Linked DNA regions of Arabidopsis thaliana. The protein of the gene in region 3 interacts with the protein of the main gene of each other region in a pairwise test. Each region holds a gene or a part of one and is shown on either strand. Other genes may lie near its edges.

Region 1 (10,262 bases), on a different chromosome or scaffold from region 3:
CATATAAACCTTAATTACTTTTTTTATAAACCCAAACCAGACCAACATATAATTTTGTTTAATTATAAAATCTAAACTTATCATTTTTTGATAACTCTAAACTAACATATAAATTTGTTTAGTTGTAAAATCTAAATTTAATCTTTATTTATAAACCCAAACCGACATATAGTTTTCTTTAATTGTAAAAATCTAAACGCTAATACTCGTTTATAAACCCATGCGGAATGTACTTAAGCTTAAAAGTATACATATTTTTTTATTTTTTTATTTTAATTTATTTTATCTTTTTATTTTTATTTTAATTTATTTTTAATTCCGTGGCATATTGTTAAAATTTTTTTGGCTATGAGTGAATAAGAATTTGTTGAGAAAATAACAAGGGGACATATCATCTATATCAAATTATCCTTTAATCGAGATTTTTATTATCCCATTTATTTCCCTGAAATTTGGAAGTTTGCTCTTGACTTACGCTGCTAGTGAGTTGACTCGAGGGTCAAGAAGACTCTTTCATTATGTAATTATGTTACATAAACCTCTTTTATCTTCAAACTATCGTGTGGTGTAGAAACGTGGAGACCTGCAAGAACAACTTGTTATTCATCTACTCTGTAGTCTAGTTGACTCGTGAGCCAAGAAGACTCTTTCTGTCTTTTATTTTCAAAACAAACATGCAGATTTGCAAGAAGAATGTGTTTTTATTATACTACGGAGTGTTGGTGTTCTTGTCTTTTCAAGTTTCTTCTTCAACTGACACTATTTCTACCAATCAACCTCTTTCAGGATTTGAGACCATTGTTTCCAGCGGTGATATATTCGAACTCGGTCTCTTCACCCCAACTCCAGATACTTATGATCATAGAAACTACTACATAGGAATGTGGTACAGGCACGTCTCTCCACAGACTATTGTTTGGGTCGCAAACCGAGAATCTCCTCTTGGAGGGGATGCTTCTACTTACTTATTAAAGATCTTAGATGGAAACTTAATTCTCCATGATAATATCAGCGCCACCCGTAAATCTCATACGGAGGGGACATCTCGGAGATCCCCTCAAAAGATCTCAGAAGGAAACTTACTTTTCCATGAAACAGTTTGGTCGACCGGTGTTAACTCTAGTATGAGCAAGGATGTTCAAGCTGTTCTGTTTGATAGTGGTAATCTAGTATTGAGAGATGGGCCTAATTCTTCTGCAGCTGTGTTGTGGCAGAGTTTTGATCATCCCTCGGATACTTGGCTTCCTGGCGGTAAAATCAGATTAGGAAGCCAACTTTTCACTTCTTGGGAGAGCTTGATAGATCCATCACCGGGTCGATACTCTCTCGAGTTTGACCCTAAACTACACTCACTCGTCACGGTTTGGAATAGATCAAAGTCATATTGGTCCAGTGGGCCATTGTATGATTGGCTTCAAAGTTTCAAGGGATTTCCAGAATTGCAAGGTACTAAGTTGAGTTTCACATTGAATATGGATGAGTCTTACATCACCTTTTCAGTAGATCCCCAGAGCAGATATCGTTTGGTCATGGGTGTTTCGGGGCAGTTCATGCTGCAAGTTTGGCACGTTGACTTACAGTCGTGGCGTGTGATATTGTCTCAACCTGATAATAGATGTGACGTTTATAACAGTTGTGGATCATTTGGGATTTGCAATGAAAACCGAGAGCCTCCCCCATGTAGATGTGTTCCTGGTTTCAAACGAGAATTTTCCCAAGGATCTGATGACTCGAATGATTACTCTGGTGGTTGTAAAAGGGAAACATACCTTCATTGTTATAAGCGAAATGACGAGTTTCTTCCTATTGAAAACATGAAATTAGCCACTGATCCAACAACAGCATCGGTCTTGACATCCGGGACTTTTAGGACGTGTGCCTCACGTTGCGTAGCTGATTGTTCTTGCCAAGCGTACGCAAATGATGGAAACAAGTGTTTGGTGTGGACAAAAGATGCTTTCAATCTGCAACAACTCGATGCAAATAAGGGACACACATTCTTTCTTAGACTTGCATCTTCAAACATCTCAACTGCAAACAACCGTGAGTATTTTCACTAACAAATAAACGAATGCGTTGAGATATCTCTAAACTCATTTTTCTACTCAGGAAAAACAGAACATTCTAAAGGCAAAAGCATTGTGTTACCACTTGTACTAGCATCACTTGTAGCAACTGCTGCATGTTTCGTTGGTTTGTATTGTTGCATTTCTTCAAGAATAAGAAGAAAAAAGAAACAAAGAGGTGAGATCGGTTTTAGCTTTTTGCATAATCACTATACAAGATTTCTCACTAGTTTCTGAAACACGAATTATACGCAGACGAAAAACATAGCAGAGAGCTATTAGAAGGTGGCCTAATTGATGATGCTGGAGAAAATATGTGTTACCTAAATCTACATGACATAATGGTTGCAACAAATTCTTTCTCTAGGAAAAAAAAGTTAGGAGAAGGTGGTTTTGGTCCAGTCTACAAGGTATTAATTAAACAATACAATTAATACTGAGCTTGTAAGTTTGTTTGGCTAAAGGTTTAAACAAAGTAGCTAGTTTGAATATCATCATCGTTACAATCTTACTATAGAAACTTTGATGGGCAGGGAAAGCTACCAAATGGGATGGAAGTGGCAATCAAAAGGCTTTCAAAAAAATCAAGTCAAGGTCTGACAGAGTTCAAGAATGAAGTTGTTCTGATCATAAAGCTTCAACACAAGAACTTGGTGAGGCTTTTAGGGTATTGTGTTGAAGGCGATGAGAAGCTCCTAATTTATGAGTACATGTCGAATAAGAGCCTTGATGGTTTACTCTTTGGTGAGTGGTGAATATAACTATCCAAAACTACTACATTTGAATTTGAAATATAAATAATTGACTTCTTAACGTTCTGTTTTTGGGCACACATATATATATATCTATATAGATTCTTTAAAGTCTAGGGAATTGGATTGGGAGACACGTATGAAAATAGTAAATGGGACGACAAGAGGACTTCAATATCTGCATGAGTACTCACGTCTCAGGATCATTCACCGAGATCTTAAGGCAAGCAATATTCTACTTGACGATGAGATGAATCCTAAGATCTCAGATTTTGGAACCGCAAGGATTTTTGGTTGCAAGCAAATCGATGATAGCACCCAAAGAATCGTCGGGACATTGTAAGTGTACATCTCGTATAGTTAGTTATGTATCCACTTGTTTCAAACACTAAAATGTTGAGTTTAAGTTTATGTTTCTCAGTATTATAACACACATACTTTTTTTTTCATTCCTAGTGTCTTTGCAACTTATTTATGAATGATGTTTGAAAAAACTAAAACATTGTGCTGAGGTAAGTACATAATTTTTACATGTCAATGCAAAGGAAAAAACAATCACTACCTATATGTATTTACATTAGAATCTTTGGATTAAATTTCATAAGCGGTTAATTTCAGCGGCTATATGTCACCGGAATATGCATTAGGTGGAGTGATTTCAGAGAAATCGGATATATACAGCTTTGGAGTGTTGTTATTGGAGATCATATCGGGTAAAAAGGCGACAAGGTTTGTTCATAACGACCAAAAACACAGCCTTATTGCTTATGTAAGTGTTTCTATAGTTCAATATCATTTATCTACCATATATAAAAACGTAACTTACCTTAGATCAATCCCAAACTATATGTTGTTGATCATCTTCAGGAATGGGAATCTTGGTGTGAAACAAAAGGTGTAAGCATTATAGATGAACCAATGTGTTGTTCGTATTCTTTAGAAGAAGCGATGCGGTGCATTCATATCGCACTTCTTTGTGTTCAAGATCATCCTAAAGATAGACCCATGATTTCACAAATCGTTTATATGTTGAGCAACGATAACACTCTTCCGATTCCGAAACAACCAACTTTCTCAAACGTGTTGAACGGGGATCAACAGCTAGACTACGTATTCTCCATAAACGAAGCAACGCAAACAGAACTGGAAGCGCGATGAACATTAACAATACTTGGTAAAAATGTTGCTATATCCCCTGAATTATTATTATTTTTTATTTTTTTTTAATACCAGGAGGTTCTGGGCCGAAGCCTGTAATCTTCCAGGCCCGAAACCACAACATGTAATATTAGTTTCGTTTCAAGTGTCACTCGAACCGGCGACCTATAAGCTTCGTGTAGGGTTTTTACCAATTGAGCTAACGACACTTGGTTATCCCCTGATTTATTAGATAAGAGTATTTACTTAAACTGCTTATGTGATGCTGAGAGTGTTCTTTAAAATATTTTATTCTTTGTCATTTGAAAACAAAGTAATCAAATAATTGTTGAATCGTCCTAAATGGTCTTACTGGATTTGGGCACAAAAAGAAGAAGACAATAGCAAATTACGACTTGAACTTATCAACCAACAATTCTTTTCATCATAAACTCTCGTCAGTCTAATAAAACAGAGCACTCAATCTCCTTAACGTGAAGATATGGGTGACGTGACAGAGCTGTGACCAGGAGATAAAGATGGCGACCAGGGCCAATTTGTTTCTTCCTCTACAAGAAATCTATTACCAAATGTTGGATCAGGTAAAGGAGTAGAGAAACAACTAAACCAATGCAGAACTTTATCAATATTCGGCCTTCTCTCAGCATTCTCATCCACACATAGCAAAGCAATGTGAATGTATCTCAAGATTTCGCTTATCGAATATTCTCTTTCTTCTTCCCTCATCACTTCATGGATCACATCTATGGCTTCTCCTCTGTTCCAGCATCTCCTAACCTAAAAGAAGACAATTCATACGATTAAGGAACCACTTAATTACCATCATACAAACTTTTACTTAAATATAAACTCACATATTTGATTAGAGAGTCTCCGTCCACACTCCAAGCCTTCCTTCTGCTAATGATCGTCAAGATTGTAACTCCAAAGGCATAAACGTCAGATTTGACGGAAACACGTCCGCTTCGTATGTACTCCGGATCTAAATACCCTCTGTTGATAATCAAAAAATGTTTTATACATCACACTCTAAACATCTTCAAAACATTTACCCTCAAGCATGTTAAATCACAAAACTTCACTTACACGGTACCGACAATTTCAGTTGTTTCAGCTGCGTTTTCACCTTGTTGCATCGTCCTCGCCAATTCAAATCCCACTATTTTCGGTTTCAAATCTGAATCCAATAGAATGTTTCCAGGTTTAATGTCGCGGTGAACGACCCATAACCCGGATTCTTCATGAAGGTAACGTAGCCCTCGAGCTATGCCATCAATAATGTTTCGGCACATCTCCCAATTTAGCTGAGCAGCTCTGTGTGGGTCTGTAACACATTACCACAATGACTAATGATGAGAACTTGATACTAGACTAGATTGTATTTGGAAAGGGTACTCTGTTTTAAACTGTCTAACCGAGTATAAAACAATCGAGGCTTGAGTTAGGCATGAACTCGTAAACAAGACCATGTTGGTCTCGTTTAGTGCAGAAACCAAGAAGATTGATCAGATTCTTGTGTTTAAGCTTAGACAAAATAATAAGTTCGTTATGAAACTGTCTCTCAGTTCTAATTGAACTTGTAGACAAAATCTTGACTGCTATTTCTTGTCCATTTTGAAGCCTACCCTGAAAATGATTTAAAAGGATGTTTTAATTACAATTTCTTACCATACACTAAAAACGAACCAACGTACGAAACCACTAAAAACAAACCTTGTAAACAAAACCAAATCCGCCACGACCAACCAGTTCTGAGAAATCATTTGTTGCAGCTTTAATGGTGTCCAAGTCGAATTCGAAAACTGCTGTATCTAGTAGAGACAAGTAGAATTAAACATAGTTTTGTGTGTTTTGTAACAGATGTGAGGAAAAGGTTTGAGAAGAAGAAACATGAATACTTACAGCTTATAAACTCAGTAGACTTCTTCTTTCTACGTCGGAAAACGGTATCGAGAAGCGAAGTAACGGCCATAGCAAAGATGAAGACGAAGACAGTGTCTCTGAATTTGCTTCAAACAAGTATTTAATCCAAGAAAAAAGAAGAACTTATTAGACAAGTTATTTAATTTCTTCAACGGTTGACTTCGTTGATATTGTTAGAGTCCACTATGTTGACCTTGACTTCTACTATTCATTTTGGATATTTTGGCTTCTTCATTTGTTCTTGCATTGTTTTTAATACGTAACAATTAACTTATTCTGAATATTGATATTATATAGTTTGGTATTGAAAATCAAATTATATTTCAACTAAAATGAAAATGAAAAATATATTATTTAGAAGTTTACTTTGTTTTGTTTTATTTGTATGTAGGTTCAATAAATAACAAAAAATAAATAGATATTACATAAAACATAGAAGATATTAGGTCTGTTGTTATAATAAACATATATATATATATATATATATATATATATATAACCATAGAATTCTACCATTTTTTTTTGTTTGTCACAAAGAATTCTACTTCAAGATGATGTTCTTGGAAGGAACGGAACTGAATTTTCAGCTACTTAGAAATTTCGAACCAAACCAACCACGTCACGTAAATGACACGCTGACAAAGACCGATCATAGAAAGCCAACGATTTTTGGGTCTAGACCAAGTGTAAAAGGACTTTAAGAGGTCGGTGCAATGCAACTTTTCCCGAGTTCAAAAGACCATACCTCTACTAGGATTCAAAAATCTTTCCAACTGACCCATTATTCGTATATAAATCATACATCATCTTCATGTCTAGCATGAAACATGGAGATCTTATCCGCAAAGCCATTATAGGGAACCGACCTAGCTACGCACCCGGATTTGTTTTCACTCTCCAAGAACTTGTCCCGAACATATAATATATCGATCAAATTAGTTATATTCTAAACAATTATTTTTAAAAAGATATGAAAAAATTATGTTAAATAAAAAACCTGTTAAACAATTTATTCTGAAATTATTTTAGGATTGCAAAGTTGGGTGAGACGATACAAAAGAAAAAAACAAAAAGAAAAAAAAAGCAAAGCTTAAATGCAGTAATCTTTTTTTTTATGCAACTGCTAAATTCAGTAAGTAACATCAATTTTTCTTCAGGGAAAAAAGTAATTCCCTACATAATATCTATATAAGCATTGTACTATATATGTTAGTTTGAAGGAGGAAACTTTTTGAAGTGTCGAGTCTCAGGAGGTCCAATGAACAAATCAGTCACCACTTCCATTTCATTGTCATCTATATCCAGTTCTGATGTTGATGATGATGATGATATTCTTCCTATTATTCCTCTTCCTTGCATCTCACACTTCATTCACACATTTCCTCAAATTAAAACACACTTTTTGAAAAAAAGCAGATAATTTCATAATAATAGAATGAGAATTGAGAACATAAATCAGCCCGTAAGTTAATATTAATTTGTACCTTCTCCATCAGCATTTTATTTTCTGCAATGAGGTTCCTCTCCTAAAATATTGACAATAAACCATGAAATATGGTTTAACCGTTTAATTATGGGAAATATGATTAGTACCTGACCAATACATTTGTACTAAATTAATAAAAAAGCTACATGTTACCTTTTCTTTTAATTTCTCAGTTTCTTCTCGTAATAACTGGTACTGAAATTAAGGAATTAAATAGCTAAATTAGTTGGTAAAAGACTCATTAAAGATAACATATAAGGTGATGACAAAAAAGAAGAAGAAGATAACATATAAGTCTTTTCTCAACACATATGCATGCATGCATGCATGCCTCCAAGTGTGTGTGTGTGTGTGTGTGTGTGTGTATGTGTGTATTTGGAGTGTTTATAGGATGATCCCATGTTTATATTGTTTACATAATCAACTCATTTGTGATAATCGAACCAGGCGGCCACCACGTCATTGTCATAAATCTCGATGAAACAATAACCATATGATAAGAGTGAAGATTTTATTTTAAAACTAAGAAATGATCACATATACAATAATCTAGAAGTTACCTTTTTGGCTCTTATTTTCATTAAGCTTCTGTCCAACTGGTTCTCCAATTGTTGTAACTCTTCTATAGAAGATGCGTCAAGTCCTTCTCCCATCATTTTTCTGCAAATGTATATATTTTTTAAACATATGGTAAATAGACGCTTACAATGTAAACGTTACATTCATAACAAAATATTCGTATAAGTATTTTGAGTTCAAAAACCGTGTCGAAATCTCCAAATGTTCGATCTTTCTCGCCAAGCCATAGGTTTCGTCCTTCGATTGCTGTCAACAAGGTTTGATCATGAGAAATGCAAAACATATTTTCTTAACCAAAATTGTAAGTACAAATATTAATATAAAAAATTATCACCCATGTTCGATAAATAAAGCATACACTTTAGCATGTATATTAATTTTTTAAAAGTGGTACACCAAAGGATCTACACCATAAAATTGTACTAGATATTGATATAGAATTTCTTTTTACTTGAGCTCTGGATAAGTATATTTTTAGCAAATGTATATATATGAAAATAACCATGATAAACTAACAATTCTATGAAGTTTGGTTACCTGTGAATTATCATTTCTCTTATGGTTAGACCCGAGATCTTGTATTCGCTTTTGATATCTTTCTACTGTTTTAGGTATACTGAAATTAAAATTTCAAAAATCAAATCAGTATATCAAAAACAAAAACAAGTCAAATTAAAGGAAATAATTAAGAAGCAAATGTCTAAGCTAGATTTCTCACAATTTAATGATAATGCTTATAGTATTGTGATCTAATAAAAATTGTATCAATCTTCTGCTGATCTTTTGGATTTATAATGAAGTAAGAATATCAATAACTAAAACATAATATATAAATGTTGCAATCTGAGTTAAAGATATCTTCTAGTCATGTGGATATGGCTTAATTAAGTAATTAAAAACTGATTAACAGGTAAATACAGTATGTGTAAACAACACCTATAGTTAGTTTTGATTTTTAACCCTCTTGGCTTGCTTCAAAAAAAAAACTAAAATATCATTCTTTTTTTTTGTCTAATAAAGTACGTACATGTAATTAAATAACCACATAGTAAACATACAAAATAATTTATAACTATACAAAATATAACAAATAGAGAAATCATAAAAAGAATCAACATAGTCTGATCTAGACACATGCTAATGACACCTTCACTGTCATCACTCATCACTCATCACTCATCACTCAGATAAAGAGGCCTTTGTAATTGTACTATTTGGGTGAAAAGTGTGTCAAATGCTTCTTTGTTACCTCAATATTGAATAAACATACATAAATCCTAAATGTACATAGGTGCATGCATCCACATATACACACATTCAAAATGGTATAGTGACGATTTTGAAAAGAAAAAGCGTTAGTATTTTTCTATTTTTGGTTTGAAAATTCCTCTTTGCCCAAGAGTAAAAAAGAGAAGTAATTTTACAAAACAGAAATAAATTAAAAGAAACGTTGGTCAGCTATTTATTGACGGGTACATGTACATATAAAAAATAATTAAAATTCAAAAGGTACATAAATTTTTCTTTGATCACCATTTTGATCTTGTATTACGTGGTGGTCGACAATAATAAATCTATATCATAATCATACATACCTGTTAATGTAGTTACGTACGTACATATATATAAAAATGAAATATGTTTAGAAATTATGTACATATAAATCTATATCATAATTATACATGCATATATAATGCAATACTTAGCTTCCTATGAAATCAAAACACTCAAATCTCATCAGTATTATTAGTGTGACACCATTATTTCAAATTACAAAATATATAACCAAATTCATGCATATATGTGAAAATGAGCAGTCTAATCCCAATGTTTTAGAAAACAAAACTTTTCAAGTACATCAATACAGTAGTAATTAAGTGCTTGTATATAGTATATACAGTATATGTATATGTGTGTGTGTCAGTGTGTATAAGTTCTTCCTACATTATTAAAATACACAAGAAAAAATATAATAGGGAAACACACCTCTAAAGAAGGAAATATTGTTTTTTCTAAATCTGGTTAAATATGAACCAAGTAAAAATGGAATCTATCTCATATGAGAATTTATTGCCTAATTTGAGTAAGAAGACTGTACTCAAACTTAGTGCTACATGTGTGTGTCGAATAGCATTTCAAGGTTAGCTCTTCTTTGTCAAAAATGTTTTATTTTTTACTGGAATTTTCTGTTAGTTGTCCAAACTCCAAACTATATCTCATCATGTATTTACACACCTTTGCTCTTTTGATTTTGCAATTCCAAGGAAAAACATTGACCCATGTGCGAACCACGTTTCA
Region 2 (11,820 bases), on a different chromosome or scaffold from region 3:
CGAAGCAGGAAAAGAATTAAATGTATATATATTAATGTTAATCACAGGATTACAAAATCTTCTAAAGAAACTTACAAGATACTAAAAGAATGGCTACGTCAAAGTTAATTGTTGTGACTGCAATATCACGTAGCTTCACACCAAAAGCAAGCTATTAATATTGCAGTGTGAGTTAATTTCCCATGTGAAGTTATTTAATGATTTTTTATTTTATTTTTTGTAAGAAGAAATTGGTAAACACAAATTTATAAATTTTCCTATTAAAAACAATAGATAATAAAGATAATAATAACACGGAAGAGGTAATATCTTCCGAACTACTAGTATAATAAAAGCTGACAACCTTACAATTAATTTCATTTAATTGAAACTATGACCATGCTTGGCTGGATTTACAATTAATGTTAAGAGATAAGTATGAATGAAAACCAATGTTCGGATTTGGTATCTTATGTAACAATACCTGTAGAAATACATGGAATTAAAATGTTAAAATAAAGAGAACCAAAGTTAAATTACAGTTATTTTTGTCGACAAAACAGAAAATAAATTAGCTTTAATATTTCTTGTCTTTTTGTTTTTGTAAAAAAAATATTTACACAATTATATAGTTTGATACATTGCTTAATTGGTGGTCATGAACTATACTTTTACATTTAAAGATTAAATTTGACCGTATCTGAACATGATAGACGCGTGGATTATAATAAATACGGCTAATTAAATTAAATGCATATCATCTAATGATTCAGTTTAGTTGACTAAAATCCCTTACAAATACGTAAATCTTTAGAAGTGTAAACGACATGGACAGACTAACCAAACAATTTGATAATTTAGACATTTTAGCTTAATTAATTTACTTATTCTCAACTTCACAATACAAAAGCTAAAGTAATTATTGTCACAGAGAATATGAATGATTCTCAAGTCGAGTAGAGCAATTAACCGAATTAGTTTTAAGAATTTGTCTTTGTTAATCCTATCGTTTTGTAAAAACCACTATTACAAATGCTAAGAGAAGCAAGATTAGGAAAAACTTTAATGTTATAGTGAAGGAAAATGCTTCTAAGAACAGAAAATGAAAACTAGAGGGAAGATTAGAGGACTGAAGATTTTGCTTTATACATATACTAATGTAATATTATAACAACTACGACATTAAAAAATCAAATCAAACCAGTTTTATGCAAGATTGTACATTTTATGTCCAATGTCTAACACTATTAATTTAGAACAGTAGTTCTTTTTCGGTCTCTATTTCTGAAAACTAACAATAGATTTTAATTGATATAGCTACTCAGTAATTTTTTTGATCTCAGATCTCTTAAAACAAAAATTAAATTTACTTCGTTTGACAAGACCTTCAGATCTTTCAGGCACATGAATCACATTAATATATGTGCAATATCATAATGTTATCAATATCGAACCAACCTTAACTATAATTCATGCATTTTAGGTTAAGATCTAAAGTTTTTTCCATAACTCTTTTTATCTATGAAACATAATGTGCGAAGGTCAAAAGCGGTTTAAGGCAAAAATTTAAATTGTTGCCTTGAATACATATTTTTCTTTTAAAGACAAGAGTTTTTTTTACCATTTTTCAAATATTCTCATTGAAAATGAGATTTTGTGAGTTAATATCATGAAAATCAAAAATAATTTTCATAAATGTTAATGTTATGATTTTTTTTTTAAAAAAAATATCCTTAAACACTAATTTTAAGTAAATACTAGCCTTAATTTTTATAAAGATGTAGCCTATTAATATTATATTGTTGATCTAAGAGATTAGACATTCTACTTATTTTAGTAGCTATAATATGATTTCGACATAAGCTTCACGCTTTACTTACAAAATGTTTAGATTCATAGCGAGTAAAACGTCGTAGAATCAAAGCTCAAAGCCAAATCTTAGTCCTCCTCACGAGCAACATTTTTGCTATGATGTTGAGCTTACTCCGGATCTTTCGTTTCTTGGCTTTTGATCTTACAATACAATAAGATTTAGATCAACAAACCCACACACAGACCATAAAAATCAACAATCAATCATATATTGCTCTACAGTCGTGGGATGGCGACGAAATCTGTGTTACCATCTCCGTTCGGCTCGCATTGTCCAGACTCGTCGGAAGTCCTATTCCGAAGAATATTCGCAGATCTGTTGGCCGGCGGCTTTTTTGGATTTTCCGATTGAAGATTAGGGCTTCATAGTAGATCGGTTTAGTCAGTTTATTAGCTCGGGTCGATTTTGATTTAAGAGCTTGGTTCGGTTTGGTATAGTTGATTGGGCTCTTTTCAAATTTTGTATGGATCTAAATTCGAAAATAATCCATTAAACCATTGTTTATAATATTAAATAACCAATAACAAAAAAAAAAAAAGTTCTCGCCTTCTCGGTTTAATCTTCATTCCTTTTTTTTAATACTCTTTTTTTTTAATTTGTTGAGAAATTGGAGATTAAAAATAAAGCCCAAAATAAAATAAAAAACCCCGGCCCATTAACAGTTAGTATTAAACAGCTTTTGCAACAGACGGCGGTAAACGATAAGATGGTGTTTTTTATGTCGTATCCGCCGACACGGCGGCAGTTAGTAGTGTCGGTGGGTTTTTTCGCGGCGGGCGTTTCTCTCTTCGTCGCCGGAGCGTATCTCTCACTCGCCAACATCTCACCGCAACAAGCTCGCGTCAAAGCTCGTAATGATTTCGTCAAGGATCGAATCAGGAAATGGCTCGACGATTAGTGTCTTTTTTTCGATCTTGTAGGCGTTCTAACTCTTAAATGATATAAATCAAAAGACGATTTCGTGTAAATTCATGCTCTTACATGTTTGGATCATTACCAGTTCAAATTCATGTTTTATGTCACTTACAGATGAGAGAATCACTCTTGACAAAACGAGCGAACAGAGAAAAAATGTAGATGTAAAGTCTTTAGATTCTGTTATCTCTGCGCTGAAAATGTGAATAAAATTTCTTGATCATATTACCATCTTGATTTTCTGGCATTCTGGTTCTCGCCTTTCGAAGCATCCGATAACCGCGACTTTGAAACAGATCCACCGCGGAAGTTACTTAGTCTCGAACCCGAGAGGATATGGTGATCTTTTGAAGAAGCCTTGTTTGGTTTATAAGCTTGTGTTTCATCTATATACCCTTTAGGCTCAACGTCAATAGATCTTCCCCAATCCAACCCTCCATCTCCACTTTTTTGAAGCTTCTCGCTCTGTACAACCCAATCAACACAATCCGATATGCTTCTTTGTAAAGAAAGGCTTTTCCTTGGCGTTGATTTTCTTCCTCTGTTCTCTTCACCATAAGGCCATTTATAGCTCTTGTTGTCTATGTTCAGTTCTATGGAATGAAGGTCGCTTTCGCCTGAACCTTCTTCATTTCCATTCTCGACTTCTCCATCTTCGATGTTATATGATCCAAAACTGATGTGATGGTTTAAATAATCTCCAGCCTCTTCGTTATGTAGCTGAGTTTGAGGTGGTTCACGGGTCTTCTCTTTACATCTTTTTGCTTTGAGGTAAGTTTGAAGCTGGTTTCTTAGCTTATCAACAGCTGCGTTTTTCTCCTCGAGCTGGTGTTTAGCCTCCGATAGTTTCATCTGTACTCTCTCTTCCCGCAATGCATCTGCTAACTGCAACATCTCTCTTTCCTTTTCGACTTCTTCTTTGACTTTAAAAGATTCTCTCTTCAGTTCTTCAACTTCGGCTTTGTCTTCGCTTATGTCTCTTGCTAGTTCATCACAAACTTTCTCAACCATCACTCTCGCTCGCTTCTCGTTCTCGATTTCTTTAACTGCTTTCATCAGAGCTGATTTTGTTTCAGCCAATTCTTTGCCCAATTTCTTGTTCAAGCTCTCAAACCGTCTCCTCAGCTTCCTCTCCACTTCTAGCTCACCAGCAACAGATTCGATTGCAGCCTCAACAACTTCTTGCTCGTTGCTTTTCCACACAGCTTTCTCTTCGGCAAAACGCTTCATCAAGTAGCTAATGTCGTTGTTTTCCGGTTTATGTTCGTGGATTAACTGATTGACCTGTAAGCGAGCTCTTTCGAGCTCAGAATGTAAAGCAGAGACGAGGGACATGCTAGAAGATGGGCGGTCGTCTTGACCCCACATTCTGTTAATGATTTTGAGAAGCTCTTTTGATGTTGTGAGAGCGTTACTACAATCCTTCAACCGTGTTTTGACACCCACAGTTGACCCAGTCGGTGTCTCCACCCGTGATCGAGTCTCAATCTGCATTGGAAAAACACATTTCAAATATTTTTGAACATCACTCTCTTGCACACATATTGATTTATAGATGATGGAGGCAAATTAACTAATCATAACGGATTGAGTGTCTCCTAGTTTCTTATACCGTTATTTGCAATGTTTCTGTGCATAACAAAACAAACCATAGATTATGTGTACGTATGCTTCCAAAGTAAAAAAACCAACAGCCTCTGGAGCCAATAATGCTCAATAATATACTACTTTCATCCTTAATCAAATACCAAATTTGGTTTGAGAAAATTATGAAAACTGCTAGAAGAAAGGGTTCCTCATAATGCTCAAAGAAACATCCCCAAGAGTGAAAAAAAAATAAAAAAATCAACTTACATCCATGAAGCTGCCACTGTTAATAGGATCCCTAGCCCCCACATTGCAGTCTCCAAGCCTAAGCTTTTGCACAGTTGATGAAGCTCTTCTCTGGCGACTCCCAGTCCCTGATCTTTCCATCCTCTACAAAAATCAACAAGTTTCTCAGCTATCCAATTACCTAACACACAGAAGTAAAGAAAGCAGAATTCTTCGCATTGTCCATTGCCAGATTTAGCATTATATATAATTTTTCTTAGGTCTCCATTATAAGAGAATCTAGGCCTACATTATTCACAATAAATCAACCTCTAAAAAACAACCAGCTACCTCCATATGACCAACGAATGAGAAAGAATAAAAACTAGTAGAAGTGCCCAATTATGCAAGAATAATAGGCACCAACTTATAAAGAAACGCCCTTTCATATAAACATAAATGTGCGTTATAGAGCACATGACAAAAGATTCTTAAGATCAAAACAGTTTTCTATTCTTCTCTAATCCCACTCCTTAACATCAACCAGAAGCTTATACGAATAATAATCTCCCTTGATGATTAAAATACTCATAGAGGTTGCCAAAAAAATCACAACTTTGACTAAATTCAGACCTTAGAATCACACAAAGATTATCAATTTTATCAGTTAAAGATGAGATCTTTATAACTTCCCCGAATCAATCAATACTATACTATATATATTATTGTTTTTCTCTCTCTCTTTTGATCGGTCAGAATTAAAGCACATGGCAGCCAGCAAGAAGTTGGAATTACAGCACATTCTCTTCCTCTCAACCAATCATAACCAAAGCATTTTACCTCAGAGACTGGACTATGCGACGGATCAGAAAGATGAGGCGGTAGAGAACCAGAATGAACCGATGATCTCGGCGGAGGAAGCGGCGCGATTCTCTCCTTTCTACTCTTTCTAATCATTGGCGCAGCCTCCTCCACAACTCTAGGTGAAGGCATCTCGTTCATCTCCCAAAGCGTCGCAGCTAACTTCCTAGCTGAAACAGGAGCAGGAGCTGATACTTTACCGGTTTTGCTCCCGCAGTGAGACGACGGAGAAGCAGCAGCGTGTAAAGCACCGGAAGCTCGTGGAGAAGGAGATCGACCCATAAGTCTCCATGTAGGTACAGGAGTAGTGGATCCTCCTCTTTTACCAACAACTATCGCTCTTTTGAATCTATAACCTTCACGGAGAATCGAAGAAGTCGACGATGTCGGCGAAGAACAACCACGTTTCCTGATTTTGCCAAGTAGAAGTAGATTCTCTACGCTTTGATTCTGCCTCGGCATATTCAAAACAATTGTAGATCTTTCTCTTTACCTGGAAAAACAAAAAGCAGATTCAGAAAATTTCACCGATCTGTTAGAAAAAAGCACAAAGACCAAAATTGAAGTTTTTAGAGTGAGTAAGAACACTTACAGAAACTTCAAAGCATTTCTATGGCTTCTTCTTCTACTTCAGAAGATAAAGTTGGAATGGGAATTGGGGGAATTTGGAAAGAAATGGCGGTTGCTGTGTTTTGAGGTTTTTTGATCAGACTAGTGTACAGAGTGTTATGTTAAAGTGAAAAGGGGAAAGATGACAGGAGTACTCATCTTCTGTGATAAGGAACACTGTAACATGTCCACGTGGTTTGATCTGTATGGATTATGGATGTTGCTCCGTGATTTACAGGGTGGATGATTTGTAAACCGACTTAAACCGAAATAATTGAATCGAAAACCGGAAATCACTTCCTTTTTATCGGTCCTGAAATAAGAGATTCTCAATTAGAAAAACAAACTAATCAACAAATTTCTTTAGTGAAGAACAAACTTATATAAATAGTATTTAGCAGTAAACATTATTTATATTTGGTTAGTATATGGTAAGAATTCGAATGAAATAGATCCTAAGTTCAATTTCACATGTTAAACCAAAAATTATGTAGATGTCATGAATTTATATCCATATTTCACAAAGTTTGACGGCTCATTGAGAACAATTATTTTCGATTAGAAGAAAGTCCATCTGCCTAAATAAAGGGAACTAGTGCATCTAATTTTATATTTGACCAAAAATATTATGCTCGTCTATGATATACTATGGGTTAATTTGGAGATTGGATCGTGTTTGTACTATATAGGGTTTCTTAAATGACGTGTTTGAGTAGGATGCATTAGATTTTAATCATTTGATACACAATTACATGAATCGATAAAAGACCAAATAATCTAAGGTTGTTCTTTTTACCAAACCAAGATTTTTAGGTTATAAGAAAATAGTTCCTTTAGTAGATTCCTAATGTGGACCAAAATATCTTGTTAATCTCATGCTTATGACTCCTAAATCATATGATCATGTTCCTATATGAGGTATATAATATACCATTTTTCTCCATTAGACGAGTGTGAGTGAGAACCGGTGTGCTTAAGTTACTCATTACAAAATGTGTCTACTACTATTCCAAGTATATAGATATTCATTTCAATAGGTTTTGAAGTTTTATCTATACCCACAATTTCACAAATCACAACCCGTTATAATTATAAATGAATATTGATATTACAGATTTACACTCGTGTAATTGAAAAATGGATGACCGAAGTATTCATGTGAAACCATGAATATTAAAATGCATGTATTATTTTTTTTATAGCAGGATGATCAGATATGATTTCCTAGTTTTCAAGATATTGCATCCATAAAATTCACAAGTTAATTATTTGATCAAACTAAACAATTGAAACTGTAAACGTTACAAAGAAAGATAACACGGCCACACTTTTTTCCGTTGTCAAATGGACACGTCCAAGTGGAGGAGATGATTCAACATACACAATCGTACCGTATTATTGTTCAACTCTTTATTGTTGTAAACGTTTTTTGTTTGGGTCAAGTCTCTTTATTGTTGTAAACACGATTCTTTCTATAGTACTTTCTGTCACATAAGTTTTTTTTTTTTTTTATGGTGAATCCGGAAACAAAATCTGTTCGAAAAGACAATTCAACCTAGAAATAGTTGGATCTACATCATATCAAAATATATAGGTAGCAATCAATATAAAACATTAAATATATGAACAATGTAAGACTATAGTGTTAGATACAATTGCGTACAAAAAGTTCAAAATATATATGAGTCAGGCCCAACTAAGATATGAATGCCCAATAAAGAACTAAGAAATTGGTTGCCAGAACTGTATTCCTATGGGAGTCTTCTTACTTCTGACTTCTAATTTCTAACAACAATTTAGTTTTTTTTTTCTCTTTTTTTTTTTTTTTTCTTTTGGCTGTCAAAGATCTAAGTTGTAATAGTTTTGTCATTTGATGAACTTTTCAATTGTAATAGCTGACTCAAAAATTTACCCAATCACCATCAGTATACCTTATGGTATGAATGCATGAATCTATGGTCTACCAACCATCAATCTTTCACTTGCTCCATTACCCAACTATCAACATCTACTATGATATATGACAGAAATGGAAAACGAATATAAATTCGTTCAATAAAATAAAAAATATATATGTAGTAGATAAAGTTGTGGTTGAACCTATGAATGAATATTGGATAGATGTGCAGACAAATGTGTGGAGTGTGGACCTTTGCCGACTATTGCATGTTTTCATCTTTTGTACCGGAAGGAAAAAATAACTTACCATTTTCTATTACCTTTATAGCTAGATATACAAATTTATAGAAAAATAAGTAGTATTAAAAAAGAAAAGAGAGAGAAAAAAAAAAGAAGAAGAAAATCCAAAGCGTGAGGGTAGCTTTCGGATAAACACAGAAGATTGTCTCCATTTTCTTTGGAAATTTTGGGATCATGGGCGTTTTGTAGGACCCATTACTCTCTCAGCCCTGCTTCTGCCACTCTGTGGGCCCAATTTAAAAGCCCACTCTTGTTTCTTTTCTAAACCACGTGAAAACAAACCACAATATGTTATATTCAATCAAACAAAAACTCTATTATCTCTCAAAGTATCTGTCATATGTTTTTCTAGAAAATTTGATTATAATTTTTCTTTTAATCTGCATTCATTTGTCCACTAATGATGTGTTCCAACAAACATGTTCGCTCTCATTGACGAAGAGCTAAGTCAACAAGTCAACTTGTTGAGAGTTATGAGATGTCTAATCCTAATTATACACATCATTAGAGGGATACATATATATAGGCTTTCATTATTTTTATTTTTCTATTATTATTTATCCCCATAATGTAAGTTCTTTATTAAAACACATCTTTCATTCGTAAAGAAAATAAAGTTAAAAAAAAAAATTAGAAAATACAATAATTTTTTGTTTTCTATAAAAATTATAAGCGAAGGCATCGAATCATATATATTTTTTTTTTAATTAGTCGTATATGATTTCTCTTATGTTTTTATTTACAGTATTTCACACCGTGTATTTATATTGTCATCTTGATTGGTAATGTTGAAGACTACAATTGATCATTTTCATAGGCGTTCGTAAACTACTGATTTAACATTATATTGTAATAAAAGAAGCAAAAGGTGGTTAACTTTGAAATGGGGACTCTCAAATAATCGAAATTTTGATGCAATGTAGAGAGCTCAGAGAGTAGATAGAGAGAGGCGTGCAATTGTGTGTTGTTCTCATTGTCCCACCATCTCTATCTTCTTTTGTTTTTCAACTCTCCCAAACCGCCAAACTTAGCCGTACCTTTTATTTTTGTCTTCTCCATTTTATAACCTTCTTTATTTTAATTTTCTATTAGAAGTAAAAGTTTTAAATGTTTTATCTTCTATAGTGAACAGTGTGTTAAACTTATCATCCGTTATGATTTTTGTAATATACGATCAAAAATAATATTGACTTTTTTAAGTTTATTAAATAACTCTATTTTTTTTTGACAGCTATTAAATAACTCTAATATTCAAATAGAAACCAATAACTTAATGTGAATAAATTAATGAATTATTATATTAGGGGTTGTATATAATGTTTCATAATTGCTTATCTTTCAGTTTACTCTAGTTGTGATATTTTCCATTTCAGTTTACTCTATTGGTGTGTTTTTTCTACGGAATTTTGGTGTTTGTTACTTATTACTCTTGTTTTTTTCTTTCTATACTTTGAGATTTAATATTTTCGGTCTAAGTCTAAGATATCGGCTGCATAAATTTATATCTGAACAGTGCAGATATTTTTATTTTTTAAACCTCTTAACACAAAAAAAGATAAAGATGTAAAAGAAATATGTGTGGTCCACTCCCTCCGAGCATTTAGCTTTGGTTTCATAGAATATACAACAAATAGCTTTGGTCCCCTACTTAGGAGAAACAAATTTAAAATTATATGCAAACTAATTAAATCTCACACGTACATATATAAATATCTGATTGTTACTATTTTACTTTAGGATTGTTCAAAATCTGGATAGTTACTTTAAAGGTTAAACCACTTTTCTTACAATTTTTTTTAAATAAGCAGAGACTGATGACGTGGTTAATGTTACAACGTCTCCCATATAAATATAAATTTTCCTTGCTTGCAGCAACTTTTTAGCTACACATTAATCATAACGCGAGGTCAAACACACATTTAGTCGTTTACCATCATCATAAGTGAAAATATGTCGCAGTTGTAAAAAACAAGACGTTTACTATATATGGTAGTCAAGAGACTGAATTATCTTGTTTTCTACTAGTAGTAGTTCTTATAAATTCGGAGACCAATTTAAACCATTAAGAAAATATTTGAATAGCCATAGATAGGGCTAATATTTAATCATCTCGAACATTGTTGCCGACGTATTTGTATATAATTAACAGCATGCAGGATCTACACCATTGGTTTCAACATGACTCGTTTAATGTGTAGATTTATTATCATAATATTATAACCAATGGATTAATATTGCCATAGCAAGAACTAAAAGAGAAAAAAATAGAAAGACAATTCATAAACCTGTCTTTAATTTGCTAGGGAATGGTGAAAATGTCAGAAATAGAAAAATAAAAAGCAAAAGTAGCAACTTACCCCTGAGTTTCATGAAGCTTCTCGCACCATTCACTTTCCATAAATGACAAACTAGGTTTGTCGTCTTCTGAACATTTTTATCAAAATTTTTTTTGCAGACTTATCATTTTAGGAACCCTCCACGAATTACATGGCAGATTCCTCTCGTGTCTTTCCTTTGTGCTCAAGATATCATTATAATCCTATATATTCGTGTCTATGTCGTGTAATATGTCTATATACCCATGAAACACACTTTAATCTGTAATTTCAAATCCAAAAATGTTTTGTGATATTACATATATAGATGGCACATGCGGCCTTAGATCCAAAAAAAAAAAAAGAGATGGTACAAGCAGCCAAGTGGAAATCTTCTAAAACATTTGTTTTAAAACTTGTGGTAGTAAGTTGTTTTGCTTTGTTATTTATTTTCCACTAATGCAACAGTCACGTAAATTATGTGATCGTGGAAAACTGAGTGATTTGTTTGTTATTTCGTCCAAACGCCATGACTATATATAATAAACATTATTTTTGTCGTATTTCTGGAATACACGCATAAAGTAACAATCTCCGTTTTTCGAGCTATGACCTCTAAATGTCACAAAATTCTCCAGTCGTTTTGTGATCTAAACCAAAAATCACTTTCGAACACTTCATTTCTTCTGTTATTAAGGAGTAAATATTTCAAACTTAAAGAGGTTTCATTAACAAATTATTGAAATAAACAATAGTAGTTTTTATCAAAAAAGGAAAAAAAAATAGTAGTGGTGAAAACCAATTATGGAAAGAAAAAATACAATACGTTTTTTTTTGGATCTGTGCTTGAGAGGCAACGTCGCATTCGTTAGAAGTATGGGAATCGTGTTATTTTAATCAATAAAGTAGCTAAGTTTATAGGGTTTATATGGATTTTGATAACAGGAAAAAGTCATCATATTAAAAAAGTTGAATTGACGAGTTTGGTGAGAAAGTTGTGGCATCGTTCGGTGACGTATCTAGACAAGCTGTAGTGTTTGTTGAAAAGGGCGATTAATGTGATTAAGAGTCTTGTTGGAAAGTTTGTTCGCAGAAGAGGCTAAACTAATTAAAATTAACATGTGTTTATTAATATCACAAGTTCATTAATCTACATTTCTTTTGCACTAAACAATTTTTTAATCACGATGAAATGTTGTGAAGGGTAATAAAAATATTTGACTATGAGAATGTTAATCACGATGAAATTTTGTTTAA
Region 3 (10,248 bases):
TACAGGGAAAACGACCTTTGTGAAGAGACATCTTACTGGGGAGTTTGAGAAGAAGTATGAACGTAAGTATAGCAAAGATGCTTGTGAATGCACAATTTCTGTGAACATCATCTGATGTTGAGTCCTAATCTTGTTTGTTGCAGCTACTATTGGTGTGGAGGTTCATCCTTTGGATTTCTTCACAAACTGCGGAAAGATCCGTTTTTACTGCTGGGATACTGCTGGACAAGAGAAATTTGGTGGCCTTAGGGATGGATACTAGTAAGTATACATATCTCCATTGATATGTTTGTGTGTATACTCAATCTAGAGTGTGTATAGTTTGGATTAGCTCTGGTTGGTTTGTGCGTAAAATTGGCAACCGATTTGTTACCTGGACGGTGGGAATAGGAATCGTATGTTGTTGAAGTAATCTGTTAAGATCTCAATATCTATTAAAGTTTGCATTGTTTTGATTAGCGCTGGTTAGGTTGTGAAATTCAAGAACCATCTCACATGTCATGTTTGCAACTATTGTTACCTGGACAATAGGAATAGCTGACTGGGACTTGAATGATAATGGTTTGTTTGATATTCCATCTGGATATATTGCTAATCTTCGGTTTTCTTGCAGCATCCATGGTCAATGTGCGATAATAATGTTTGACGTCACAGCAAGGCTCACATACAAGAATGTTCCGACATGGCATCGTGATCTTTGCAGGGTGTGTGAAAACATCCCGATTGTTCTGTGTGGAAACAAAGTCGATGTGAAGAACAGGCAAGTGAAGGCAAAGCAAGTCACATTCCACAGGAAGAAGAATCTGCAGTACTATGAGATATCAGCAAAGAGCAACTACAACTTCGAGAAGCCTTTCTTGTACCTTGCTAGGAAACTGGCTGGAGACCAGAACCTTCACTTTGTGGAGTCACCAGCTCTTGCTCCACCAGAGGTTCACCTTGACATTGCTGCTCAGCAGCAGAATGAGGCCGATCTTGCAGCTGCTGCAGCTCAGCCTCTCCCCGATGATGATGATGACGCATTTGAGTAAAATCTTCCAAAAATGTCTGCTGTGGTTTTCCTCTATGATGTTTTTTGAGTTGATGTTACATATAAATCAATCGGTCTATTTTAGAACCAAAATTGGGGGAATTATTTGGATTGTTCTGTTTTTTGGGACCCAAAGAGAATTTGCAGTCAAGTTTTTTCTGCCTTAAAGAATATGCGGTTATTGGAAAACTTTGATTCTACCCACTTTTCTTTTACTTTGCCAGTTGCAACATTTTAGATTTTGTAACTATTGTAGCTACTTGGTCATATGAATCAAACATAAAAGGAGAATATTTAGCTGTGCTACTTGAAATTGTTAGTTTAATCACTAGTGTTTCAATTACGTACACAAATCTTCTCATCTCCTTTTTTATGTATAGCTTTTAGGCCATGGCATGAATCATATATACATTGCTAGTCTTCCTCAAGTCCAACGCAAAGATAAAAGAGTAAAGATGATCAAATTTTCTTTCACAAGTTTGGAATTAAATCAAAAAACCTGAATGAAAAATAAAATGACATTTGTACAATCTACACTCAGTTTTTATTCTATGTAACACAAACTGTAGTTCTCAATGCTGCTGCTGCTGCTATCTGTATATAGTACTGTTATCGTCAGAGATAAGGTTTCTTATCTGCATCAGATGTTCCTCATTCGAAATGTTCAATTTGAGACGGAGATTTGTAATCCACGTTTCTTGTTCCCATGTTATGATTGGTCCGGATGCGTGCAATCTCTCGATACTGCTTCGGTATGCATCCAGCTCTAACCTATGAACATCAGCAGCCTCTGAGCCTTTTCTTGGAACCACCAACTTCTTGACCTTCCCGTAGCCACAAGACGATGACTCTGTGTCACTAGAGTTACCGGTTTCAATGGGATTGAATGAAACAGCACTGAGACCATCAGTATCCATGCAACAACTACCAACAGAAGAAGCAACACTCTCTCTATCTTCTTCTTCTTCTTTCACTTCTTCACGAAACCTTGGAGGATAAGCAGCTAAAGCTCTAGTTTGATTGTGAGGTTCAACCAAAGAGTAAGTCCGTTTCTTTAGACCTACTGACAAAGGTACATCAGACTCATCAAGCTTGTCTTTGCTCTCAGATGAAATGTAGTCGCCTTTCGGATTCACCTTTCTCCTTAGTTCTCCTGTTGAAGTCTGTGCGCTTAATCTTGATGTACCCTTCAGCCAAATGGTAAAATAAACAAAATGTCAGCTCAAAAACAGACTTTAAAAAGATATAGTCACAGAGGAAAGAAACAAGTACCTGTCCAATCATGATCCACTCGTTATCTTGCCAAGATTGTCTAACCCGAATATCGGATTTAGTCACCTTGAACTTCAGTGAGGAACCAAGTAATCTAACCAAGAAACAACCGTTTCCTAAAACCTTGGAAACGATTGCCATCTTCCACGAACAACTTTGGAAAACCTCAAGAATGTCACCAGGACACCAAGCATCAAGAACTTGTAAACGAGGAGGCTCAGGCCTCATACTCTTCCTCGGTACCCTCTCTGTACCATCATTATGATCATACATGACAGTGTAGTAATGCCCATTTCCTGATATGATCTCTGCAGACCGCCAGGCGCCAGATGGAACCGATGATTTGCTCAACACTTCGACTTTAGTTCCCTTGTTGAATCTCATGATTGCTGCTTCAAAAACACCTTAAAGTAAATATCTTTTCACATTCCAACTGCTTATAAAGATCAGAATTGAACATCACATATGCTAAAAGGCTGGTGCTTCACAATCATTAAGCAACAAAACAAGATAAATACATCCAAATATCCAGAAACAAGTTGGACCAATAAGATCCATTAGACTCATTCACATCCAAAAAATTCAACTTCAACCAATTGGTATAAAGATTACAGATTGTTTTGCTTCATAATCACTAGATTGCAGAAAAAGTCCTAAATTGCAAAAAACCAAATCCAGAAGCATACAATGGCTTGAAATGTTAATGAAATTGAAAACAGAGTATGACTCAGTTCCTAGGATCAATCTTCATTACTGAGAAATTGATTAGGGGAAGAGAATCAAAAATCTTTAAGCGGACATGAAGAGACTTAAAACTCAAAAATTCAAATTAAAAAAAAAAGAAAAAAAAAATAAATTTGAGATTGTGATTGTGATTACCTGAAAACGAAGTTTTAGTTTTTAGGTTAGTGAATGTTTAACACGCAAAGAAAGCCATGAATGATTCTACTGCCAGAAACAACAAAGCTTTGTTTTTTTTTCTTTGATATTTCTGGGCAACCAAACTTGGATCAAAAGGGCAAATAAAACAAAATTAAAAACGTATATGCAAATAATTATCAAAAGGAACAAAAAAGATAAATGTATATTCCACATCAGCAGCAGCAAGCCAAAAATCATTTTTTAAATGAAAATATTTTTAAGAAAATGAAGAAGAGAATATTTCAAGTTGCATGAGAAATAGCCTTTTTGTTTCATTTTATTTGATATGGGACTATTTTGTGTAAAATAACCAAAAAAAATGTAATTTGATAAGTGAGAATAACTTGATGGTTTGTTGGAAGATATGTAAAAGATTAAAAGTTGAATTTGTTATGTTTTCTTATATTTGAGATATCTAAAAGAGAATTGTTTCAACATTAATTAGACCTCTATGATTTGGTTTATTTTTCATAGGAGTGGTGTATAGCATTTAATTAATTCAATGAATGATTTTGATATGAGTTGACCAAAAGAAAAAGAAGATTAATTGGAAACATGATGTTGTAATCTAGGTGTTGATCAGCCTAAGATAACACTAAACATAACGAAAGTGCAAAATTTATAAATTTAATCACCTTATCTGAAAGTTATCATTATTTTGAGACTAACATATCCCTTGCTCGTCTTATTGGTTCGACATATCAAATACTTACACACTTATGTACGTAATTATAGGATAATCATAGTCTGTAATTCATAGTATAACAGTTTATCAATATGTATTGACGTTACGTTATTTGTTTGTTTCTAGGTGAGCACGAGCAAAGTGCGTGTTCCGGTGTGCCAAAAGTTTCGACATATTTACTTAATTTAAAAACAGTTATTAGAAAAAGAAGGAAAAAAAAACGTAATGGGGATGGTCAGGTCAGGTGGCTTTACATAATTCCCAATTCACTTTTGAGTTTTTGGTCATAAAAAATATTATCGAGATCGTAGGGTCCATATTTTTTGGCTTCTAACGATCAAATTTTATATTTTAGTTTGTCTTTCCCTTGCAGTACTTATTCATATCTTCTTGATTTCACAACGGATTGTGTCATCACCTGAACAATAGTGTTAGAATTATTTGAATGCGACTCCTAATGGTTCATAAGATTTTACAACTTTTGAATTTCTCTTTTTTGGAAATCATTATTGCTTCCTAATTGTATGAGCTCATGAATAAAGAAGGGTGTGCAATATTTTCTTCATACGTGTACTCAAGAACATGATCCAAAATCTTGTCTACTCGTAAAAAGTTTATAAGCAAAACACACTTTTGTTTTGGTTTTGGTTTTGGCTTTTCCGGATAAAATGAAGCAGTGTTTATGCTATTGCGCTTTCCACGCATGAAGCTTCACTCTTACATCCTTCACTCCTGATCCATTCTAACACCGAAGAACAGTCCTCTCGTCTTACGAAATGCCTTCATTAAGAGATTCAACCCATTACCAAACGAAGAAGAATTTAATAACCAAAAGAAAGCCTAATTTAGTGTTATGTTTGATCTTTGTACCTGTTTTTGGAGCGATACCCCTTTAGTTCAGAAGCTTCTCGAGAATCTCTTACGTCTTTGCTCATTCTTAGAGACTCCGGTATCTCCACCATCTCTGCTTCGCTCTCATAAGCATCGTATATGCATTGAAGTATTGAATCCTGCCAGAACAATGAATTATCACAATGCTTGGTTGATAGTATATAAGAGACTGAATAGAACAGAGAGAGCCCTCTTAAACATATACCAGAGGTTTGGAAGCATTGAGCCAGTGGTACATAGGCTCACACCGGAACCATGTCATTTGCCTTTTTGCAAAGTTTCTGCGTATCAAGCAAACCAAGTATTAGTTTAAAAGCGATAAGAGAGGATAACATGGGTTCTTTAAACTTTTGCAGGAGACAAAAAGTGAAGAAATGAATCAATGTGAAAGAATCAAAACAGAACTTCGACTTTCATTTATTCTCAATCACTATTTCGTCCAAAAGCTAATACACTAGATATTTCAAGTCTATGTAGAGGATTCACCTGGATGCTGTCTGAAATTTGTTCAAGAAAGCATAAAATTCTCTAGGGGAACTTTCGCCCTCATATCGACGACATTGTAATAGATATTCCATGGCCTGAAAACAAGGAATCATATTTCCATTGTTGATCAAAAACGGTATCAAAGTACGACAAATAAATTGCAATGATGAAGTCGTAAAGTATTTCATTTTTCCAACTAAATAAGAATGGACTTCCTTTCTGAACCAACTTGGTATAAGTGGATGATGATATATGCTAATAGTAATGGCTATATGTCTTAAACCGAAAAATAACTGTTATATAACATGGAGTCATGCAATTTCTAGAACCAAATCCATATTCTTCACTGAACTGGACATGCTGCCAAATTAACAGCTACAATCCACTGCAGAGCCCTTGGCTAATTATAAAGACTATGCACTAGATTAACAGAAGAAAGCCTTCTCTTCTCAGTTCGTTATTCACAACCCAGTACAGGAAATAAAGAGTTCACCTGTCTGTACCCAATGGCACGAGTTGCAGGATTTGAGTTTGGAAGAAGACCAAGATCAAGAAGCCATCTAGCTTCTGACAAAACTCCATTGGGTCCTGAGTTGAGAGACAAAGCACCAAGGAAAGATAAACTCAGAAGCAATGCCAAGCAAATATATACAAAATTGCATACGACACAGCAAAGAGCATGCAAATTGTCTCTTTTTTGGGTTATAATTAGAAGAATCAGATAAGAAAAGACTTATTACTGTAAGGTGCCATGCAATGGGGCTGCAATTGTATTCTTGCAAGTTATTACTAATTAAGTAGTAGCACTTATTTTTACCTGAAAGCATGTCTTCACATCTGAAATCAATAGATCTGTAGAGAGCAACCCGTGGGCTTGACAAGAAAAAACAAAGAAAGTCATAGTCCAAATCTGTCTCTATGTTTTGGATAGAGATATCGGCAGATGAACCGTCCTCAAGGAAGTCATCAGCATCAGGAGCAACTAAATTTACTCGAAAGGAATCATAAGGAATGCGAAAGGAAGACGGAGGCGATCCAGTTGACTGCCAGGAAAAAACATTCAAAGCAAGATTAATAGTGCATAGTTGCATACAATCCAAAATAAAACAATGATAGTTCATCAACCTATCAGGCAAGAAATCATTTATCTACAAGGGCAAGACAACAGTTGAAGTTAATAATTGTCAAACCTTGAGTATCTCGAGGCTACGGCGTAGTCTGTACCAATCATTACGAGGTAAAGAAGAAGCTTTTGGATCACCAGCATTGACCACCAACTCCACAGCTGCGTCCCAGTTATATTCGGTTTGAAAACCAACTAGCATATCATGGGCCTCAGCGATAACTTCTGGAGAAGGTTTAGGCACATCCGGCTTCCCATACATAAACCTAACATTAACAAAAGCATGTAAATGGATGAATTCTAGATTTTGCAGTATACTATAATTGCTTTTAACATTATACGAAAGAGCCACTAGACAAGTATATAATCTACAGCCATACCATCGCAGATACAATCCAGTTCCACCCGTAACAATGGGAACACGCCCTCTATTAAGAATATCTTTGGTAGCTTGCCTTCCATCATCATAAAATTGCCCCACAGAGTAGTCTAACAAAGCATGGAAAAATGTGTAAGTTTCTTCCTTTACATACATCAGTATCAGAAGCATCTACACTAGTGGCATTTGCAATAGCAACAAAGTCGACAAATACCTTGAGACGGATGCAAAATGTCGATAAGATGATGAGGCACCACCTGAATAATTCGTAAAACATACAACTTTCAAATACAATGTGATCACGAACGGCACCAACGTGAGATAGAAATGAATAAATCTTACCAAATATTTCAGAAAGATACCTTTCTATCGCTATCTGATGGCTTGGCTGATCCAACATCAAGGCCTTTATACACCTGTGATTGGGGTAAAACAAAAGCAAGAACCTTTTTAATCCACACCAAACATAGATGCGAAGTTCTGGAATTGATAAAACTAAAAACTTCAACTTTAGCAATTATCCTCAACAAGGTTTCAAATTTCAAGTGAGCTGTAACTTATTTAGAGAGTACAAGTGAGAAAATGGACCTGAACGGAGTCAGCACTGATGATTTCGCCATTGAGTCGCTTAGCGAGCTCCATGGCAAGTCTGCTCTTTCCTGCGCCGGTGGGCCCAGAAATCACAATCACCTTCTCCTTTTCAGACTTTTTCTTCTTGTTCCCGTTCAGAGGAACAGAGCAGGCCGTGGTGGCTGCGCAGAATCTCCGGCGCAGTACAAGGCTTGGCGGTTGAAGTCTCAAGTAACAGGTACGGGTCAAAAATACGCCACTGCCAATCACCATTATAAACGGATAACGAAGCTTTGAAATTTAGAATTTGGAAGATAGCACAAGTTTGCTACGGATATACTGAGGTTGATAGAAGGGAAGGAGGACGACCCGCGCGAAAGCTCATCTCGAAGAGAGACGAAGACAGTGAGCAAGGGATTAGAGAACTACGGTTCGGTTAGGTTTACACATAAACCGAACAAGCGAACCGAAATTAAACGGTTTACTTAAACCTAGACAGTTATAAACGATGTTATCATGTCGTGTTAATTACTTACACAACCAAAAAATGGAACAATTACATATGGTTTTTGATCAATTACAGGGTCCTATGATTAGGTTTTTTATGGTCGGGCTGGTAGGATTCGACCGGTTCGATCCATCTATATATTCGAAAATTTAAATTATAGGATGTGTCTTTAGTCAAGTGATTAAGTTCATTTGATTTTACATTTTCTTAAATCTATTTGATTTTATCATTTTTATCGGAGTTCGACTCTATTAAGCCGTATAACCTCGCCTATGTAGTAGGAATTGGGTATGGATCGGGATTATAAAACCAAACATACATAAAGAAATATCAAGATGTAACATGTAAAATTAGTCATATACAGAGACAAGTAGTTTATTGAAGATGCACCATAGTGATCATATATGTTGATTAAGTACACTTGTTCTCTCGAATAAGTCATATCCTTTGTAGCCACGACTGTTCCTTGATCATTGGCCACGAATTAGTCAAAAGATGGACACGAAGATCAAATAAAAGTTTTACCTCTTATCTTTCGTGGCTATTTTGACCGTAAGAGACAAAAAAACAACAAGTAAAACCGTGAAAGTTAACACTAATTAACGAATAAAGAATCTATAGAAGCAAATATTGTAATTAAAATTTCAAGTGATCACAATTCACAAATGAAAAAAGTTCATTCCTTTATGTGGCGTAGCTTCATAGTAATTATATAGTTGCACTTGAGAAAACCCAAAGCATAAAACCACATAGAAAGAGAACAATAGGGATTAGGTGAATAGCTCTCTCTCCATTAGCAGACTTGTAACTATTGTTGTGTAGAGACAGTTCCTTCTTGGCTATGTCGTCGTAGACCACGAGACCGTCAGGGCTTGCGGAATCCACCGAGAGGTTAATCAGAAACTCTTCAGATGGCCGAGAACTTATTTGTAACCTTTGCATCTTATGGCGCCTTAATTTGGATTTGGAAACTATATATTATACGAACGGTGATCTGCTTATATATATGGTCTTTAGCCACTATGCAGTTTTGTATGTATAAGGATTTCTATTCGTCACAATATCAACATTATATATAAGATTTCAAAAGTCAAAGCGTATAGTATGCTTGGAGACATTTAATGTTGCATGCAAACTCCTGAAGTTATGGCTTAAGTTATGATGAATATGATAGGTGAACTTTGCTTACGAAATTTAAACTTGTTAAAATAGCTTTTGATAGCAAGACTTATACGATTCGGCTATCCCCCCAAGAAGAGTTGAAATTTGAAAATGAAAGATATCAAAAAAAAAATTGCATCTTAAATTCTTTTGATCTAGTTAACAGTTGTAAAATTGTGGTCGTAAATCTTTTTTTTTCTTTGCTTTTTTGGTCATAAAATCTTTCATTTGTTTCGATTAGCTTTATGAAAAAGTCACATACTACAAGGAGTTATATTGTTTGTATACTAATTTTTTGGCTGCACTAAATTATATTAGCATAGACGCATTATAAATCGAGACATAGAGCGTTGACAAATAAGCACTAAGGTATATAAACTCGTTCAAAAATTTAAGATTTCTGTTTGATTGCACCGAACTTAAAGGTGCACATGCATGTGAATCTTTTCCACAAGTCAAAATGCGCGTTCATATGACAACGGACTTCTTTAAATATATATATTCATCCTAACAATATCTAGCTAGTTAGGAATACATGCTAGCTATACCATAATATCAAATTTTTATTAATCAAGAAATTCAAGGCCTTAAATTCACCAGAACAAGATAACGTAGTCCATATTCTCCGTTACATATATATGTTGTAGCTTTATGAATACAAGTTGTATGGATGCATGTACAGAATACAAGTACTATCATAAGTTTTTCATAGATTTTGTCCGGCCTGCGTCAATTAATTAATCCAACCAACTCTTGGTTAACCTGTGAAAAAATTACATATAATTTCCTACGAGCTTGCATGAAAAGAAAATATAAAAAAATACATTGCATATATGCATACCCAATATTCCCTTATTGAGAATTTAGAATGGTCATTATAGACTATTTTCTTGATCTTTTTGGTTATTCAGTTATTAACGTAATACCTACTTGGCTACAGCCTCTGATTGAGAGTGGTATGCCCATAGAGTAAACTTCATCTTTCTATTTGGAAAAGATATATATACGGAGCAACTTATTTTGACTGATCGTGCTCTACTCAATCTTGATCTGGCTGGCTACTCCTTTCCTGTGGTTAAAGCTTTTTCTGTGACAAATTTTCAATTTGAAGAAGTCAAAATTGGATATTACGAGCCAAAAAAAATATATGAAAGTGAAGCGTAGAGTCGGCCAACCAATGGGAAGGACATCATAGGGCTGATATCCGTTGACAAAAAAAAAA

Evidence for each region.
Region 1: the proteins of AT5G20030 (region 3) and ARCK1 interact in a two-hybrid assay, tested with the Arabidopsis thaliana proteins (one large-scale study listed by BioGRID).
Region 2: the proteins of AT5G20030 (region 3) and AT3G11590 interact in a two-hybrid assay, tested with the Arabidopsis thaliana proteins (one large-scale study listed by BioGRID).

Annotation. Positions count from the first base shown.
Region 1 is NC_003075.7:7,143,955-7,154,216, reverse strand, and holds ARCK1 (Protein kinase superfamily protein), read right to left. Parts: upstream 6,094-10,262; 5' UTR 5,949-6,093; coding exon 5,879-5,948; intron 5,832-5,878; exon of another isoform or gene 5,788-5,831; coding exon 5,690-5,787; intron 5,603-5,689; coding exon 5,392-5,602; intron 5,301-5,391; coding exon 5,063-5,300; intron 4,970-5,062; coding exon 4,831-4,969; intron 4,754-4,830; coding exon 4,445-4,753; 3' UTR 4,292-4,444; downstream 1-4,291. Other genes in the region: AT4G11900 (S-locus lectin protein kinase family protein), read left to right, coding at 675-2,043, 2,110-2,244, 2,322-2,476, 2,600-2,810, 2,920-3,157, 3,437-3,587, 3,686-3,976; AGL14 (AGAMOUS-like 14), read right to left, coding at 7,109-7,264, 7,384-7,425, 7,539-7,580, 7,946-8,045, 8,149-8,210, 8,502-8,580. UniProt on the Arabidopsis thaliana protein: Forms a complex with CRK36 that may negatively control abscisic acid (ABA) and osmotic stress signal transduction.
Region 2 is NC_003074.8:3,654,710-3,666,529, reverse strand, and holds AT3G11590 (golgin family A protein), read right to left. Parts: upstream 6,233-11,820; 5' UTR 6,033-6,232; intron 5,934-6,032; 5' UTR 5,903-5,933; coding exon 5,420-5,902; intron 5,367-5,419; exon of another isoform or gene 4,745-5,366; coding exon 4,622-4,744; intron 4,256-4,621; coding exon 2,993-4,255; 3' UTR 2,796-2,992; downstream 1-2,795. Other genes in the region: AT3G11591 (bric-a-brac protein), read left to right, coding at 2,559-2,750.
Region 3 is NC_003076.8:6,763,351-6,773,598, forward strand, and holds AT5G20030 (Plant Tudor-like RNA-binding protein), read right to left. Parts: upstream 3,353-10,248; 5' UTR 3,182-3,352; intron 3,097-3,181; exon of another isoform or gene 2,692-3,096; 5' UTR 2,687-2,691; coding exon 2,303-2,686; intron 2,218-2,302; coding exon 1,621-2,217; 3' UTR 1,377-1,620; downstream 1-1,376. Other genes in the region: RAN2 (RAS-related GTP-binding nuclear protein 2), read left to right, coding at 6-62, 144-261, 614-1,031; IPT9 (isopentenyltransferase 9), read right to left, coding at 4,589-4,688, 4,779-4,918, 5,005-5,080, 5,286-5,380, 5,761-5,873, 6,103-6,328, 6,476-6,674, 6,789-6,897 and 3 more; AT5G20045 (uncharacterized protein), read right to left, coding at 8,574-8,807.